Rattus norvegicus: one gene and its partner. The protein of the gene in region 2 interacts with the protein of the main gene of each other region in a pairwise test. Links are inferred from orthologs where the notes say so. Each region holds a gene or a part of one and is shown on either strand. Other genes may lie near its edges. The genes, in order: Myh7 and Mybpc3.

Region 1 (7,003 bases), on a different chromosome or scaffold from region 2:
CTCCAGCTCGTGGATGCTCTTCCCAGTTGAGCCCAGCTGTTCAGTCAGGTCTGAGATCTCCTCTGAGGATCAGAGAACCAGAAAGATCAATACGCCTTGTCCTGCCTCCCTTTCCCCGCAGCCCTTCCCTGCCCCTCAGCTCGCCCACCCTGGAGGTTCTTGTTCTCCCGCTTGAAGGTCTCCAGGTGCTCCAGAGACTCCTCATAGGCATTCTTGAGCTTGAAGAGCTCTGTGCTCAGGGAGCGCGCCTCCTTCTGGGAAGACTCCAGCTCTGACTGGGACTCCTCATACTTCTGCTTCCACTCAGCCAGGATCTGTGGGGACAGAGCACCCTGTGTCCAGAGCTGCTCCAGGCCCCTCTCCTGACTCAGCCCTGCTCCCCTGCCTCTAAGGAGCATGCTCTGGCCTTGAGCTGGCACTGACCCCACTGCGGGTGTGGATAGCGTCCGCAGCCCCACCGTGGGCCCACCTTGTCGAAGTTCCTCTGCTTCTTGTCCAGGGCTGCGGCGGCCGCATTGGAGCGCTCCACATCCACCATCAGGTCCTCGATCTCGTTCTGCAGCCTGTGCTTGGTCTTCTCCAGCGAGGAGCACTTGGCGTTGACGGCCTCCACTGCCTCCTCAGCATCCTGAAGCCTCTGAGCCAGCTTCTTCCTGCAGCAGGGGAAGTAGGGAGGGTGGCCAGGAAGAGAGGGATGGGGAGAATGGAGGAGGTAGGTTTGGACAAGAGGAAAACATGTGACTTCCAAAAGACTATCCTCGACCACCTAGAAGCACTCAGAAAAGCCTAAGGTCAGGCTTCAGAGGCTGGGCACTTAGCAGGCAAATCTCAGTAGCTGAGAATGGAGACATAAAGCACCTATGAGGGCCATGAGCCTGATCCTTCTTGGCTGGATCAGCCCCGTTCCCTATAGCACCGTACCCCAGGTGGGTGCACTCAGCCCTCAGACAAACCTTTTGTTCGTCTTATATTCGGATGAGAAACATAACGCGAGCAAAAAGCTTCCCTGAGAGGAGCAGGAGGTGGGGGTGCCTAAGAGTCCCCTACGTGTGGACTACTGAGCATCAGATCGGGCTGCAAAGGAGCCTCAGCCAGAGCTGGGTACCCAGGACTCACTTGGCTTCCTCCAGCTCCTCCGTCCTCTGTATGGCGTCCGTCTCATACTTGGTCCTCCACTGGGCCACCTCTGAGTTGGCCTTGGACAGGACACGCTGCAGCTCAGCCTTGGCTTCTGTTTCCTCCTCATACTGTTCCCGCAGCAGGTCGCAATCATGCCGGGCTGACTGCAGTGCGTGGGCCAGGGCATTCTTGGCCTGGGAAGAGGTGGGCATCGAGGAAGTGGATCAGCTTTCTCCTCTGCCATCCCCTTACCCCAGGCCCAGCATGCTCCCTTGGCCACTTCTACCTCCAGCTCTCCAGTGAACCTGGTGTGGTTTGCTGAGCAAGGAGGACCCTACACAACAAAGCAGTGCGGCACTGTTTACAATGCTCTTGTGCCCACTGCCCGAGGCTCCTTGCAGCAGATTTGCTCCCCCAGTGCAGTTACAGGTGCAAACAGAGACACCAGGAAGTTTTCCTTATATCACCACACTAAAAGAGGTAGTTTTGGGGGTTTGTACATGTGTAGGGAGCTCTGAAGTCAGCCATGGGTATCATTTCACAGACACTGTCTACCATATTTTTTGAGACAAAGTCTGTCGCTGAGATTTAAGGATCACCACCTTGGCTAGGCTGGCTGCCAGTCAGTTCAAGAGATCTTCCTGTGTAGTGATAATTTTAGAATTTTGGCTTCTTAAAAGAACACAGAAATATTAGAATGTGTGTTTGTTTTAATCCCAGGTGTGGGGCTGTGGGGTTACTTCAGATTGTCCACAGCAGCTGACTGTGGTTTGGCTCGTGCTCTGGCAGGGGTGTGATTTTTCCAGCTGCGGGTACTTTCTGCAACTGTGCAGCATTTGGAATTCTAGGTACTTTTCAGAGGGTATATAAATGGTAGGGCCCAGAGAGACAGTGTTGGATGTTGGTTGCTGTTGGTCATGGTTTGTTAAGTAGTCATGTGCAAAGAAGAGGGGAGGAGGAGGAAGAGGAAGAGGAGGAGGCGGAGGAAGAGGAAGAGGAGGAGGAGGAGGAGGAAGAAGAGGAGGAGGAGGAGGAGGAAGAGGAGGAGGAAGAAGAAGAGGAAGAAGAGGAGGAGGAAGAGGAAGAGGAAGAAGAAGAAGAGGAAGAAGAAGAAGAAGAAGAAGAAGAAGAAGAAGAAGAAGAAGAAGAAGAAGAAGAAGAAGAAGAAATAATAATTAGAGATCCCGATGGTGAAAATCAAACTTGCCCCAATCAACTCAAACTCAACACCCTTAATCAGCAGGAAGTAGTTGCTCCCTTTCCAACTTCTGACTTTATTCAGGGATCTCTTTCCTTTCCTTTCTATCCTTTTTTTCTTTCTTATTCAGTGTTAGATGGTTGGAAGGGTGGAAGAGAAGGGTAGGAGGAAAAAGAATCCACAAAGTAGTAAAGACAAGCTATACGCCTGTCTCTGCCATCTCAGTGCTGGGATCACAAGTGTTGGAAATTGGGCCCAAACACCATCATGCTCCTGTGGCAAGCACTTCACTGACTGAGCTATGTCCCTAGCCATCGCTCTGTGAGTTTTAAGAACTCATGGTCTCATCTCTTTACCGTAAACTCAGTACTGTGCTAGGGATAGGTTCCGGCTTTCTTTCTCCAGGCTTCAGGTTGCTCTCATAATTCTAGGACCCTTTTGTGTAGCCCCTCCACCCCGTATCTGCACCCAAGAAGGCCAAAACACATCTCAGACCAGTGGTTCTCAACCTTCCTAATGCTGTGACCTTTAATCCAGTTCTTCATATTGTGGTGACCCCTCAATCATAAAATTATTTTCATTGCTACTTCATAATTTACTGCTGTTCTAAATTCTTAATGTAAATGTCTGATATGCATGGTATCTAATATGCAACCCCAAAAAGGTTGCAACCCAGAGGTTGAGAACCACTACCTTGGATACTTCTCTGCCTCCTTACCCTCCAACCCCACCCCTGCACAGCAATAGGAGGGCAAAGGGTCTCTGTCAGCCTGGGGAACAGATTTTAAAAGATACCTTGTAAAGGCTGGGTTATTACTTCTTTTTTACAGTTTGTAGAGAATTTGGACCAGGCAAGCCTCACTCTTAGAGAAGAAAGAGATGCAGACAGAATCCAAGGCCTATTGTTGCATTCTCTGCTTGGGCCAGGCCCTGAGTTCAGGCCTTACCTTGACCTCCTCCTCCAGCTGCCTCTTGAGGTCCTCCAGCTGCTGGGTATACGTGAGCTTGCCTCGGGTCAGCTGAGAGATAAGAGCCTCCTTCTCATCCAGCTGTCTGGACAGCTCCCCTGGGGAGGCATCAAGGTACCTTCAGCCCCTCTTCACCCTCAACCCAGCCCCTAATCCTTAGGCTCCCTTCTCTGGAGAGGCTGCGGGCACGTGAGCAGCGTGTACGCCCAAGGCCAGGATGCTCAGGAGGTTGGGGGTCACGGAGCTCCAGCCCTGGACTCACCATTCTCTGTCTGCAGCTTGGCCCGCTGGCTGGTGAGGTCATTGACAGAACGCTGTGTCTCCTCAGCCTTGCTCCGGTGTTCATTCATCTGGTCCTCCAGGGTCCGGCACATCTTCTCCAGGTTAGCCTGAGAGAGGAAGGAGTTACAGAGTAGGTTCAGGAAGGAACTAAAATGGAGTAAGGATTGCAATGAAAGAGAAAACCATGGACGGTAAGGGAGCACCCAGATGAGCCGTCAAGGAAGAAAGAGGATCGACACCGGAAGCAGAGGGATCAGAGGAGGGAGCTGCTGAAAAGACCCACCTTGGCCTTGATGATCTGCTCCATGTTGGAGGTAACGTCATCCAGCTCCAGCTTGAACTCGCTCTTCTCTTTCTCCAGCTTCTGCTTCACCCGCTGTAGATTGTCTATCTGCTCGCCCAGCTCGGCCACGCTGTCCGCGTGTTTCTTGCGCAGGGCCGCAGCTGTGGCCTCATGCTGCAGCGTGGCCTCCTCTAGGTCCCGCCGCATCTTCTGGAACTCGGCCTCGCGCTTCTTGTTCATCTCTATCTGCACAGATGTGGCCCCACCGGCTTCCTCTAGCCTCTCACTGATCTCCTCCAGCTCCCGGGACAGGTCTGAGCGCAGCTTCTCCACCTTGGCCCGGGCTGTGCGCTCAGCCTCCAGCTCCTCCTCCAGCTCCTCGATGCGTGCCTAGTCAGGGACACAGAGGTTCAGACCTGCTTCCTGGACCCTCCATTGAGGCCCGTTCTGGGGCTCTAAAAGACCCCTGGCCTATGAGAACAGCAAGTAAGTTTGATGTATAACTGGAAAAGTAGACATAAAAGGATTTGTGGGGAAGTGTCTTGAACAGGCCAGTCAGCTTTCTTTTAGACTTGAGCACTGCACATTCTCTTTATTAGAAGGAAGCAGATCTCTTAGAGAAGGACAAAAACAAACAAACACCTAATCTGTGCTCATGGGTTTTTGAGAGCAGTTTACTGGGGAAAGTAGCAAACGTGTAACTGAGAAAACCACATCTGTTTGAGAAAATAGCTGAAGACCTAATTCAATGCCTGCTACGGAGGAAAGAACCATAAAGACTGAAGGGACCTTTAAAGTCACCAGGTGACAGAGTGGGGAGACTCAGAGGTCAGCAGTGGGGTTCCGTAATCTCTTGGAAACCAGGAGTTCTGCCGTCCTAGACACCCCCTCCCCGCCCCCAAGGTCTCTTCCTGGGTCTTCCTTGGATCATATAAGCCCCAATTGGGGGGCTCCCTGTAGGAAGCCTTGTTCATTGTATCTCCTTTCACAGGTACACAGTTCTGTGATGCACCAGTATCATACCCTGGAGGGGGATCCAGGGAAGCTGAGAGCCAGCCCGGGACACCACACTCAACTAGAGCCCCTGGCCTTACCTGAAGCTCTTTGAGCTTCTTCTGCAGCTGGCTGCCCAGGGCCTGCTCATCCTCAATCCTGGCGTTGAGTGCATTTAACTCAAAGTCCTTCCTGTAAGGAAGAGAGAGCGAGGGGTAGCAGGTCAGGAAGGCACTTGGAGTAGCCACCAGAAGGTCAGAGATTATAAAACCAATGGAGTACAGGCAAAAAAATACTTTAAAGAGTGATTTAGGATGGGTACCCTGAAGGAAGGGTAACACCTGCTGTCTGTCAGGTTCAAGTCCAGTAAAAATACAATGAAAAACCCTGTAGCAGGGCAGCATAGTGGGGCTCTGTGGGGCTTTCTCCTCTTTTTTTTTTTTTACAAAAAATGGGGGGGTGGTTATTTATGTATTTAATATATGTGGGTATACTGTAGCTGTCTTCAGACACACCAGAGGAGGGCACCAGATCTCATTATAGATGGTTGTGAGCCACCATGTGGTTGCTGGGATTTAAACTCAGGACCTTTAGGAAGAACAGTCAGTGCTCTTAACTACTGAGCCATCTCTCCAGCCCAGACTTCTCCCTCTTATTCCAAGTATTCTCCTCTGTGAAGTAATGAGACTATTGCAAAGGCCTTTTCACTTTTTTCTTTCTCTTTGGTGCTGTGGTCTTTAACTTGTCACTGTTAGCTTAGGCAACTCAGTCATCTCTCTCTCTCTTTTTTAATTGGTGTGTATTCACTGTGCATGGCGCTGGGCTTCATAAAGATGGTGTCTCACACCTCGATCACGTGCCTGGAGCATGCTCACTTCCCTTCCACTCCCTAACCTTCTTGAGCCTTAGCTGTCTCTGTGATAAAATAGGATGGCAGACACCATCTTTGTAAGTACTCTGAGGAGGCTGCTGAGGAGAGCAGGTGAGAGAACTACTCTTCCAGAAGAAGCAAGATTGGTTCTCAGCACTCACACCGTGCAGCTCACAACTGCCTGATAGGCCCGCTCTAGGGGCGTCTGGTGCCCTCTTCTGACTTCTGTGAGCGATGCACTCACATGTGTGTGCACTAAAACACACACACATGCACAAACACAATTAAAAATAAAATATAAAAAAAGGAAGGTGGAAAAACCATTAGGACCATATGTGATCTATGTGATCCATTCATTCATTCAACAAACTCTGTGCCTAGGGACGTGTAAAGACTCCTATGCAAATACAAGTTGAAGTACTATAAGATTCTCAAATATCAAAATACGTTTTTGCAGCTCACTATTCAAGTCTGTGTGTGCACCTTTGGGAAGGATTTGCAATAAAGATTGGAACCAGAATCTACCTAGAAAAAGAAATGACCCAACCCTTACATTTTTTTGAACAGCAGAGCGATTCCTTTGAAATTATGGGCAGCCTCTCCTCCTATCTGACCGAGTGCTCACAAAGGAAGCAAGTTTTTATTTTCACCTCTCCCTGGGGTCTAGCAGGGACAAGGTGCTTGAGAGATCCAAGTGAGACTCCTTGCTAGGGAGGACCTTGGGATCTGATGTGCGGGTTAGGGAGGCTCTGCCCTCAGTTTGAGCATCCATTGCCTCTTAGGATGGCCCCTTGCCTGGCTCAGCCTATACTGTGGTGGGTGAGCTGAGCTGGGCTGGATAAATGGCCCTGGCAGTATGGAACACGGTACTTTTTGAGTCGCTCATCCAACTGCTGCTTGTCGTTCTCCAGGTCCATGATGCTCTCCTGGGTCAGCTTCAGGTCACCCTCCAGCTTCCGCTTTGCTCGCTCCAGGTCCATGCGCACCTTCTTCTCCTGCTCCAGGGATCCCTCCAGCTGGCAGAGAGAAGAGCCAGCTATGAACCACAAGGTAGGCTATGCTAGCCTGAGTTTTGTCTCTATTTTGGAAATCCTTAGAGAATCCAGGACTTTGGACACTTCCCTAGAAAGGACCGATGTTTCCAGGGAACCATGAGAATGTCCAGACTGAAAGGTTTGCTCAGTGGATTATTTTGTGAATGAATGAATGTGGGAGAAGATTCCAAGGCCATAATCATTCATTCAGCATCCTGTAAGTACCTATGGGTTCCAGGCTCTGTGCAGGGTACT
Region 2 (7,545 bases):
TGAACATGTTTCCAAAGCTGGACCCTAGGGACATGGGGACCGTGGACACACAGCACTTATTTCTAGTAAAACAAGTCCTGGGTTGTTATCAGGGATCGGGGATCATAATGAAAGGCCCTCAGCACCAGGAAGGGTTTACGTCTCAGTGAAGCTTGAACTCATAATCTTCTGAGTGCGACACACAGTGATGGTGGTGATGACCACAGCAATAAGCACAGGTGTTCTGGTCACTTAGCATCTGTCGACTTTGAGATGACGAGCCTAACATCTCCCAGCTTTACAGAATGGGAAACTGAGGCTCATAGTAGTTAAATAATTGTTTCAATGTCGCACCGCTGGATGCTCTCTAGGACTGTCCATCACATCAGGCAGGGTAGAAGCTCCACTTATCTGAAAGAGGAAATGCTTCTGCAGGAGTGAAGTCCAATGCTCCTGGTGCCACCCAGCATGATTCTGGATGATTTGATTGTGAGCCTAGCCTTTACCAGCTGCAATCTTTCTAGCATGGACGCAAAGCATTCTTTTTTTTTTTTTTTTTTTTTTTTTTTTTTGGTTCTTTTTTTTCGGAGCTGGGGACCGAACCCAGGGCCTTGCGCTTCCTAGGTAAGCGCTCTACCACTGAGCTAAATCCCCAGCCCCGACGCAAAGCATTCTTAATGGAGACTCCATAGGCACGGCCTTCCCTTCGAAGCACTTTGCTCCCAGGAACTGCAGGCAAGGGACATCTGTAAACATCTTGTTTCATTTAGGTGATGTAGACAGAATGTAGGCAGGTGATGGCAGTCAGGGAGTGAGGGCATTTCCCAATGTCTGCACATCTCAGGAAACACAAACCCTAGGGATGTCACTGTCGGGAAAGATCCCTGCACACCTCCTGGCCACGCTGATGTTCCCTAGTCAGATTGCCGAGTCTCAAGAGAAGCCTGTGGATATGAGCTGCTGATAGCTCTGTGGTAGAGCCACAGTCTTTTTTTTTCTTAAGTATTTTAATTACATTTTAATTCATTTATTTTGTATGTATGTATGTGCACACATGTCATGGCATATATGTGGAGGTCAGAAGAAAACTTGTAGGAGTCAGTTCTCTCCTTCCACCAATGGATCCCCCAGGAGTTGAACTCAGGTCATCAGGCTTAGCAACACACACCTTTAGCAACTTGAGCCGTTTGTTTGTTTGTTTGTTTGTTTGGTTGGTTGGTTAGTTTTTTAGTGACTCTCAAGCCCCAGTTCTTTAAACATTAAAGAAAAAATATTTTGCCCACATGTATGTATGTGTGCCATGTGTGTGCCTGCAGTTTAGAAGAGGGGTGTCAGGTCCCCTGGAGCTGGAGTTACAGATGGTTGGAACCATGTGGGTGCTTGGAACGGAACCTGAGTTTTCTGCAAGAACAAGGGCTTTTAACCACTGAGCCATCCCACACCAGTTCTCTGAAAGACTCAGAGATAAGTATGTGGTGCATACCTGGAAGAGCAGCCCTTAGGTCGGGGCAGGAGGATTGTCATAAGTTTGAGATCAACCCGGATTACTAGTAATAGCTTCAGCACACACACACACACACACACACACACACACACACACACACACACACCACTCTCAAACACACACACACACGAACCACACACACAAATACACACACACTCACACGCACACACCACACACACATATACACACTCAGACTCACACACCACACACACACACACACACCACACTCTCAAACACGCACCACACACACAAATACACACACACACACCACTCTCAAACACACACACATGCACCACACACACAAATACACACACACACTCACACACACCACACACACATATACACAGACTCACACCACACACACACACACACACACACACACACACACATGACTTAGGAGCAGGTGATGTGACTTTAAAGTAACTAAAATTGGGTGGAAATCGTGGCTGATAAGTTCCTATTGAATGGAAGATGCTTATATATGGGCTTCCTCCCTTCTGGTGATAGGCTATCTATTCTACTAGTGTGGCTTGATGGGGATTCCCATCATTTCTTTTTCCCCCCTAACAGTGGATGAACCTGACGCATGAGGAGTATCAGGAGGGTCCAGTCACAGAACAAGAACAGTGGGGTGGGGTGGGGGCTGAGGGATTCAGGATCCTCCCCATTTATCTTCGGTTCATCCTCGTGACTTCAGTAAGAGCTCTCTCTGCTCCTGTCCTCCACTTTGGAGTACATTTAGAGATTCACCCCCATTCCCTCATCTGCAGGCTTGCCTAGCGCGTCCCTTGGTGGGACAGTAACTCCCAGCATTATTCCCTCCCTGCCCAAGCCTAGACCAAGCCCACCCAGGATTCCATGGTCCAAGGCCAGCCCATGCCCCTCATGGTGCAGTAACGTGTGCCAAAGCTCTGCCGATCAAAAGAACAATAGCAGCTAGCTAGCCCTGGACACCTTCGCCCCCAGCGCATGTGCCCTTGACCCTTTAGCTGTGGGTGTCACAGGCCAAGAGCCCCTCGACAGTATAGTTTTCCGCTGGGTGGATACACAAAGGTCGGCCTACCTCTGAGGTCCACGGAGGATTGGAAGGGCAGAAGTTATTCAGTCCTGCTGGAAGTGGGGGAGGAGAAGCCGGAGGACCAAGTGGCCCTATCTTCTCCATGAAGATACCTCAGCTGGATGGAATTTGTCTATATTTAGCAGGTGGCTAGCAGGAGGCTGATAAGCAGGGCTGGGGAGGGGGTAGTCCTCATAAATAGTGAGAACACGGGACACTGTTCAGTCCCTCCGTGGGTGGCCTGCTTGGTGCGCCGTGTGACTGTTCTCAAGATGCCTGAGCCAGGGAAGAGACCAGGTAGCTCCACAGAAGGGGTTGGGTCTGGACCTGGGGCAGTGGTGTGCATGGCTTGCGGGTAGGTTAGGTACTGGCATAGGATGAGGCCTGTGGGTTCCAGGAAGGGACAGGACAGCGGTCCTCTTTGGGCTGTGTCTGATTCTCTGCTTCTTTTCCCAACCCTCTAAAGAGGTTGAGGATTAAATTCAGTGTCAGGGCCACTGAGAGATGACTTTTCTAAGTTAGGAAGAATCCAGGGTCATTCTATTCGGACCTATGCTTTCTTTTTCAGTCAAATTCCAGAAGTTCCACGTAGGTTGCAGTGGAGGCAGTCCACTGAGTCCCTGAGCACCTTCTGGTCTCAGTTTCTGAATGTACTGAGTATGTGGGGGTAGTGATCCGTTCCAGCTCTGAGTGTCTGCCACATGAGCCGGAACCCCTAGGGTCCTCACATCATGCCTGACTCCAGATATGGGGTGACAGAGCCTCTCTTCTCTTGACTAGAACAGGCAAACGAAGGACAGAGAACCTGCAACCAAAGGCCTGAACCAGGCCCATACCCTTGCAGAGATCATGGGGGCAGGGATCCAGTCCCCAGGCCCTACCTCCAGCCCCCCTGCTGCTCCCAGGCTAGTGTTATCTCAATTGCTCATTCTTAGTGTGAAGCCCTCAGAGGACAAATTTAGCTATATTCCAAGTAGGCAGCTGGGGCCCTTGCCAAGGGTCCCACAATGGGAGAGGAGGCTGGGCCCATCGCTGATGTTCCTAGTCAGGAGGGTAGGAACATCTTGTGGGGTGGTAGGGACAACATCCTGAGCTCTATCATCTGTCACTTAACCTCTCCCTCACCTGAGAAATAAATATGGTTGCACCTACCCCATAGAACTCCTGGAGCATTAAACAAGAGGCTTGGAGTGTGCTTACCACAGTCTTCTTGAAGGAGGGTGTCAGGGGTCAGGTACCAGGGAGCCTGGCTCCTGCAATTTCCATCTGACTCTTCAGTGTCAGCCTTCACCAAGAAGCCCAGGTCAGTGGAGGTGACCGCAGGCAGTGCTGCTGTGTTCGAGGCTGAGACGGAGCGGTCAGGCCTGAAGGTGCAGTGGCAGCGGGATGGCAGTGATATCGCTGCCAATGACAAGTATGGTTTGGCAGCAGAGGGCAAACGACACACACTGACAGTGCGGGATGTGGGCCCTGACGATCAGGGTTCCTATGCGGTCATCGCAGGCTCCTCAAAGGTCAAGTTTGACCTTAAGGTCACAGAGCCAGGTAAGGGCTTGCTGACCTCTCCTCAGGGCCCAACCTGATCTTCAGTCATAGCCCTGAACAGGGAATGGACTCTGGGCACTGGCCTTTGCCCTGGCAGTGCTGTAAACCAGAAATGCCTGTTCCCCTCTTCTGCACCAAGATCTCTCTAAGCATTAGTTGTGGCTGCAGCTCTTTCTGCATTGTGGGGGTGGGAAACCATGAGCGGTGTTCTAGGAAGGGCCCTCTCCCATAGCAGACCCGGAGTCTGGCCACACCCAGACAAGGACTTGGCTAGCTGTATGTGTTGGTGAGGAGCTTGGTGGTGCTGGGGGTGCTGGGTCAAGGCCAAAGCCTGGAAAGGGACAGCAGATGGATCGCAGGGCTGTTCAGAGCAGAAATCTGGACATGGGACAGGTGGACTGTGAAGGTTGGAGGAGCAGCAGGCTAGCTCCTCTTCTTGGAGTGAGACCAGTGCCTGAAGGAGTCTGGGGCACAAGTGGAATGCATTTTAGGTGGGACATAGGTCTGATGTCCGAGAGGGGGGCTCTGATTAGAAACCGTTCCATGACCCCACCTAAGCCCCTCCAGAGAAGGCAGAGTCTGCAGTTGCTCCAACCTCTATGGAAGCTCCAGAAACTCCCAAAGAAGTTCCTGCTCTAGCCACTCAGTTGGAAGGAAATGTCTCAAGTCCTGAAGGTAAAGGGGACTGGACAATGAGGGACAGGCCAGTGGGTGGGGAATATCCCAGGACAGACCTCAAAAGCCTTCTTTCTTAGGGTCAGTCTCGGTAACCCAGGATGGCTCAGTCGCAGGGAGTCAGGGAGCCCCTGACGACCCTATTGGCCTCTTTCTGATGCGGCCACAGGATGGCGAGGTGACCGTGGGTAAGTGGGAGCTTCTGTGCTCATACTTGGGACGGGGAAGGAAGCCCCAGGGCAACAAGGTCAGAGAAGTCACCTTTCTCTTGCAGGCGGCAGCATCGTCTTCTCAGCCCGAGTGGCGGGAGCCAGCCTCCTGAAACCGCCTGTAGTCAAGTGGTTTAAGGGCAAGTGGGTGGACCTGAGCAGCAAGGTGGGCCAGCACCTGCAGCTGCACGACAGCTACGACAGAGCCAGCAAGGTGGGACACAGGGCACGGAACTATGGAGTACAGGATGTAGGGAGGCTAGAAGACTGGGAAGCAGGGCAGAGCTGCAATGGTCAGCCACACCAGCCGCACACTGCACAAAACAGCTCCTACGTGTAGCCATCTGCTTGGAATTTTATCGTGGCCATGCGCCAGCAAGAGCCCATCAAGGGTCTTGAAAGGTGGATCCTTTCTGTGAGTTATACAAAGGCTCTGTATGTGTTAGCCCTGAGAGGTGAGGCGGGCAGGCTTTGCCATGCCCATTCTCTCTAGAAATGCAGGGCCTCTCCTTGCCCAGACTTCCTCCATCCCCTGCCCACAGGTCTACTTGTTTGAGTTGCACATCACAGATGCGCAGGCCACTTCTGCTGGGGGCTACCGCTGTGAGGTGTCTACCAAGGACAAATTTGACAGCTGCAACTTCAACCTCACTGTACATGGTGAGAGAGGCCCTGGGATCTCATCAGTTCTTGTGGTCTTCATGGGTCCTGGTCTCTTGGGCTTGTCTCTGTCTCACAACTAAAGAGGGTGACTAGCTGTGGCCAGATGCCAGTGCTGATCACCTGAGGTGTGAAAGAAATCCATGAGTTCAGGAGCAAGCGTGGGAGCAAGTCGAGGGTGGGATGCCGGTATCAGTCATCCCAGCCTGACACAGTTTGGATGTGAACAGGGAGGTGAGTGGGAGGCAGCCCACTGTAGAGATGAGGGTGAGAAACTGCCCCACCTCTCTAAACATGAACCCTGGAAAAAGCTGAGAAGATGGAATCTTGTGCCCCCACCCCCTGAGGTCACCCCCATCACGTCACTCTCTTTGTACACAGAGGCCATTGGTTCTGGAGACCTGGACCTCAGATCAGCTTTCCGACGCACGTGAGTGGCTCTCTTTCCTCAGGAATAGGGGGAGGCCAGTGTCAGGGGCTAAGGCCCCTTTAAGTTTTAGATAGACACACGGTGGGGGGTCCAAGCTGAAGTCTGAGGGACAAAGGTGAACTCCTGGGTCCTTGAGGAGGCTGTCTAATTCCACAGGAGCCTGGCTGGAACGGGTCGGAGAACCAGGTACTCTTCTGTCCTCCCTCCGCCCCATCCCCTAAGCCCCGCTAGCTCTTCAGTGAAGCCTCATGGGGGTCTCTCTCCACAGTGACAGCCATGAAGATGCTGGGACTCTGGACTTTAGCTCCCTGCTGAAGAAGAGGTGAGTCCCTGGGTCACATTTTCCAGGGCAGGGAGTAAGACACAGCATTGGGGTTTCCAAGCTGTGTGACCCTGAACAAAATAAGGCACCTCTCTGAGTTGACTTCCTTACCAAGTGGGATGACCCCAGTGTGGACAGGAGTTATGTCTTAATAACATCCTCAGTGTACCCCTGAAGACCCCATATTGAATCTATAATAGATCATTTCCATAGATTCTGAGGGCTATAAGAAATAGGAAGAGGGTCCCCAAAGTTGTAGCAATAAGGACCTAGCCCAGCACCTGACTTTTTTTTCTGTCCTTTCTTCCCCTTTCTTCCCATCTGCCCTTCATGGCTGCTGCTGCTGCTCCTGCTCCTGCCCAGAGAGTAAGGAATGGGTTGGGAGGCTCTGGGTCTTGCAAGAGGATGTTAGCTTTGGGAATGTGAGCCCTTTCTGCTGGGTTTTGGTGAAACTCCAGAGTGACATTCTTGAGGCTTGGAGTGGCCTGGATACTCTGTCTGGTATTAAGAAGAATGAAATGGGGGCTGGGGATTTAGCTCAGTGGTAGAGCGCTTACCTAGGAAGCGCAAGGCCCTGGGTTCGGTCCCCAGCTCCGAAAAAAAGAAAAAAAAAAAAAAAAGAAGAATGAAATGATTGCCCTGAAAAGTAGGGGCACCGTATGGGAAAGAGGGAGCAATGAAGGCTCTGGGTAGGTCCCAGTCTTGGCAGGGCGGTGTCCAGACTTCTAATGTGTCCCTGTCCTTCTTTCCTCGTCTGGAGCAGCAGTTTCCGGAGGTGAGTACCCTACAATCTCAGAGCCCTCCTCTGCGCCCTCAGCCCAGAACCCTCCCTAGTTCAACCCCCAAGACTCCTAGACTGGGAGGGAGGACAGGGGAGGGGACAAAGGCAGGGCCTCATGTGTCCAGGAACCTCCCACCCCAGGAAGGGTCAAGGAGGGGTTGCCTTGAGCTTCCCAGTGGGCTGTGGGACACAGGGACTCAAAGCTAGAAGCACCCGCTGAAGAAGATGTGTGGGAGATCCTGAGACAGGCGCCACCGTCAGAATATGAGCGCATCGCCTTCCAGCACGGAGTCACAGACCTGCGAGGCATGCTGAAGAGGCTCAAGGGCATGAAGCACGATGAAAAGAAGAGCACAGGTTAGCCCTTCCCAGACATGGGAAAG

The links.
Region 1: the proteins of Mybpc3 (region 2) and Myh7 interact in a two-hybrid assay, tested with the Homo sapiens proteins (2 studies listed by IntAct). The link is inferred for Rattus norvegicus from reciprocal best matches to the Homo sapiens genes MYBPC3 and MYH7.

The regions. Positions count from the first base shown.
Region 1 is NC_086033.1:32,420,697-32,427,699, forward strand, and holds part of Myh7 (myosin-7), read right to left. Parts: intron 6,765-7,003; exon of another isoform or gene 6,731-6,764; coding exon 6,585-6,730; intron 5,036-6,584; coding exon 4,945-5,035; intron 4,241-4,944; coding exon 3,851-4,240; intron 3,675-3,850; coding exon 3,548-3,674; exon of another isoform or gene 3,384-3,547; coding exon 3,265-3,383; exon of another isoform or gene 3,148-3,264; intron 1,314-3,147; coding exon 1,117-1,313; intron 1,031-1,116; exon of another isoform or gene 919-1,030; intron 654-918; coding exon 470-653; intron 315-469; coding exon 149-314; intron 63-148; coding exon 1-62. UniProt on the Homo sapiens protein: Myosins are actin-based motor molecules with ATPase activity essential for muscle contraction. Forms regular bipolar thick filaments that, together with actin thin filaments, constitute the fundamental contractile unit of skeletal and cardiac muscle.
Region 2 is NC_086021.1:97,548,279-97,555,823, forward strand, and holds the start of Mybpc3 (myosin-binding protein C, cardiac-type), read left to right. Parts: upstream 1-2,782; 5' UTR 2,783-2,812; coding exon 2,813-2,837; intron 2,838-3,818; coding exon 3,819-4,085; intron 4,086-4,643; coding exon 4,644-4,760; intron 4,761-4,840; coding exon 4,841-4,948; intron 4,949-5,034; coding exon 5,035-5,183; intron 5,184-5,511; coding exon 5,512-5,629; intron 5,630-6,010; coding exon 6,011-6,059; intron 6,060-6,215; coding exon 6,216-6,245; intron 6,246-6,327; coding exon 6,328-6,381; intron 6,382-7,141; coding exon of another isoform or gene 7,142-7,144; coding exon 7,145-7,156; intron 7,157-7,355; coding exon 7,356-7,519; intron 7,520-7,545. UniProt on the Homo sapiens protein: Thick filament-associated protein located in the crossbridge region of vertebrate striated muscle a bands. In vitro it binds MHC, F-actin and native thin filaments, and modifies the activity of actin-activated myosin ATPase.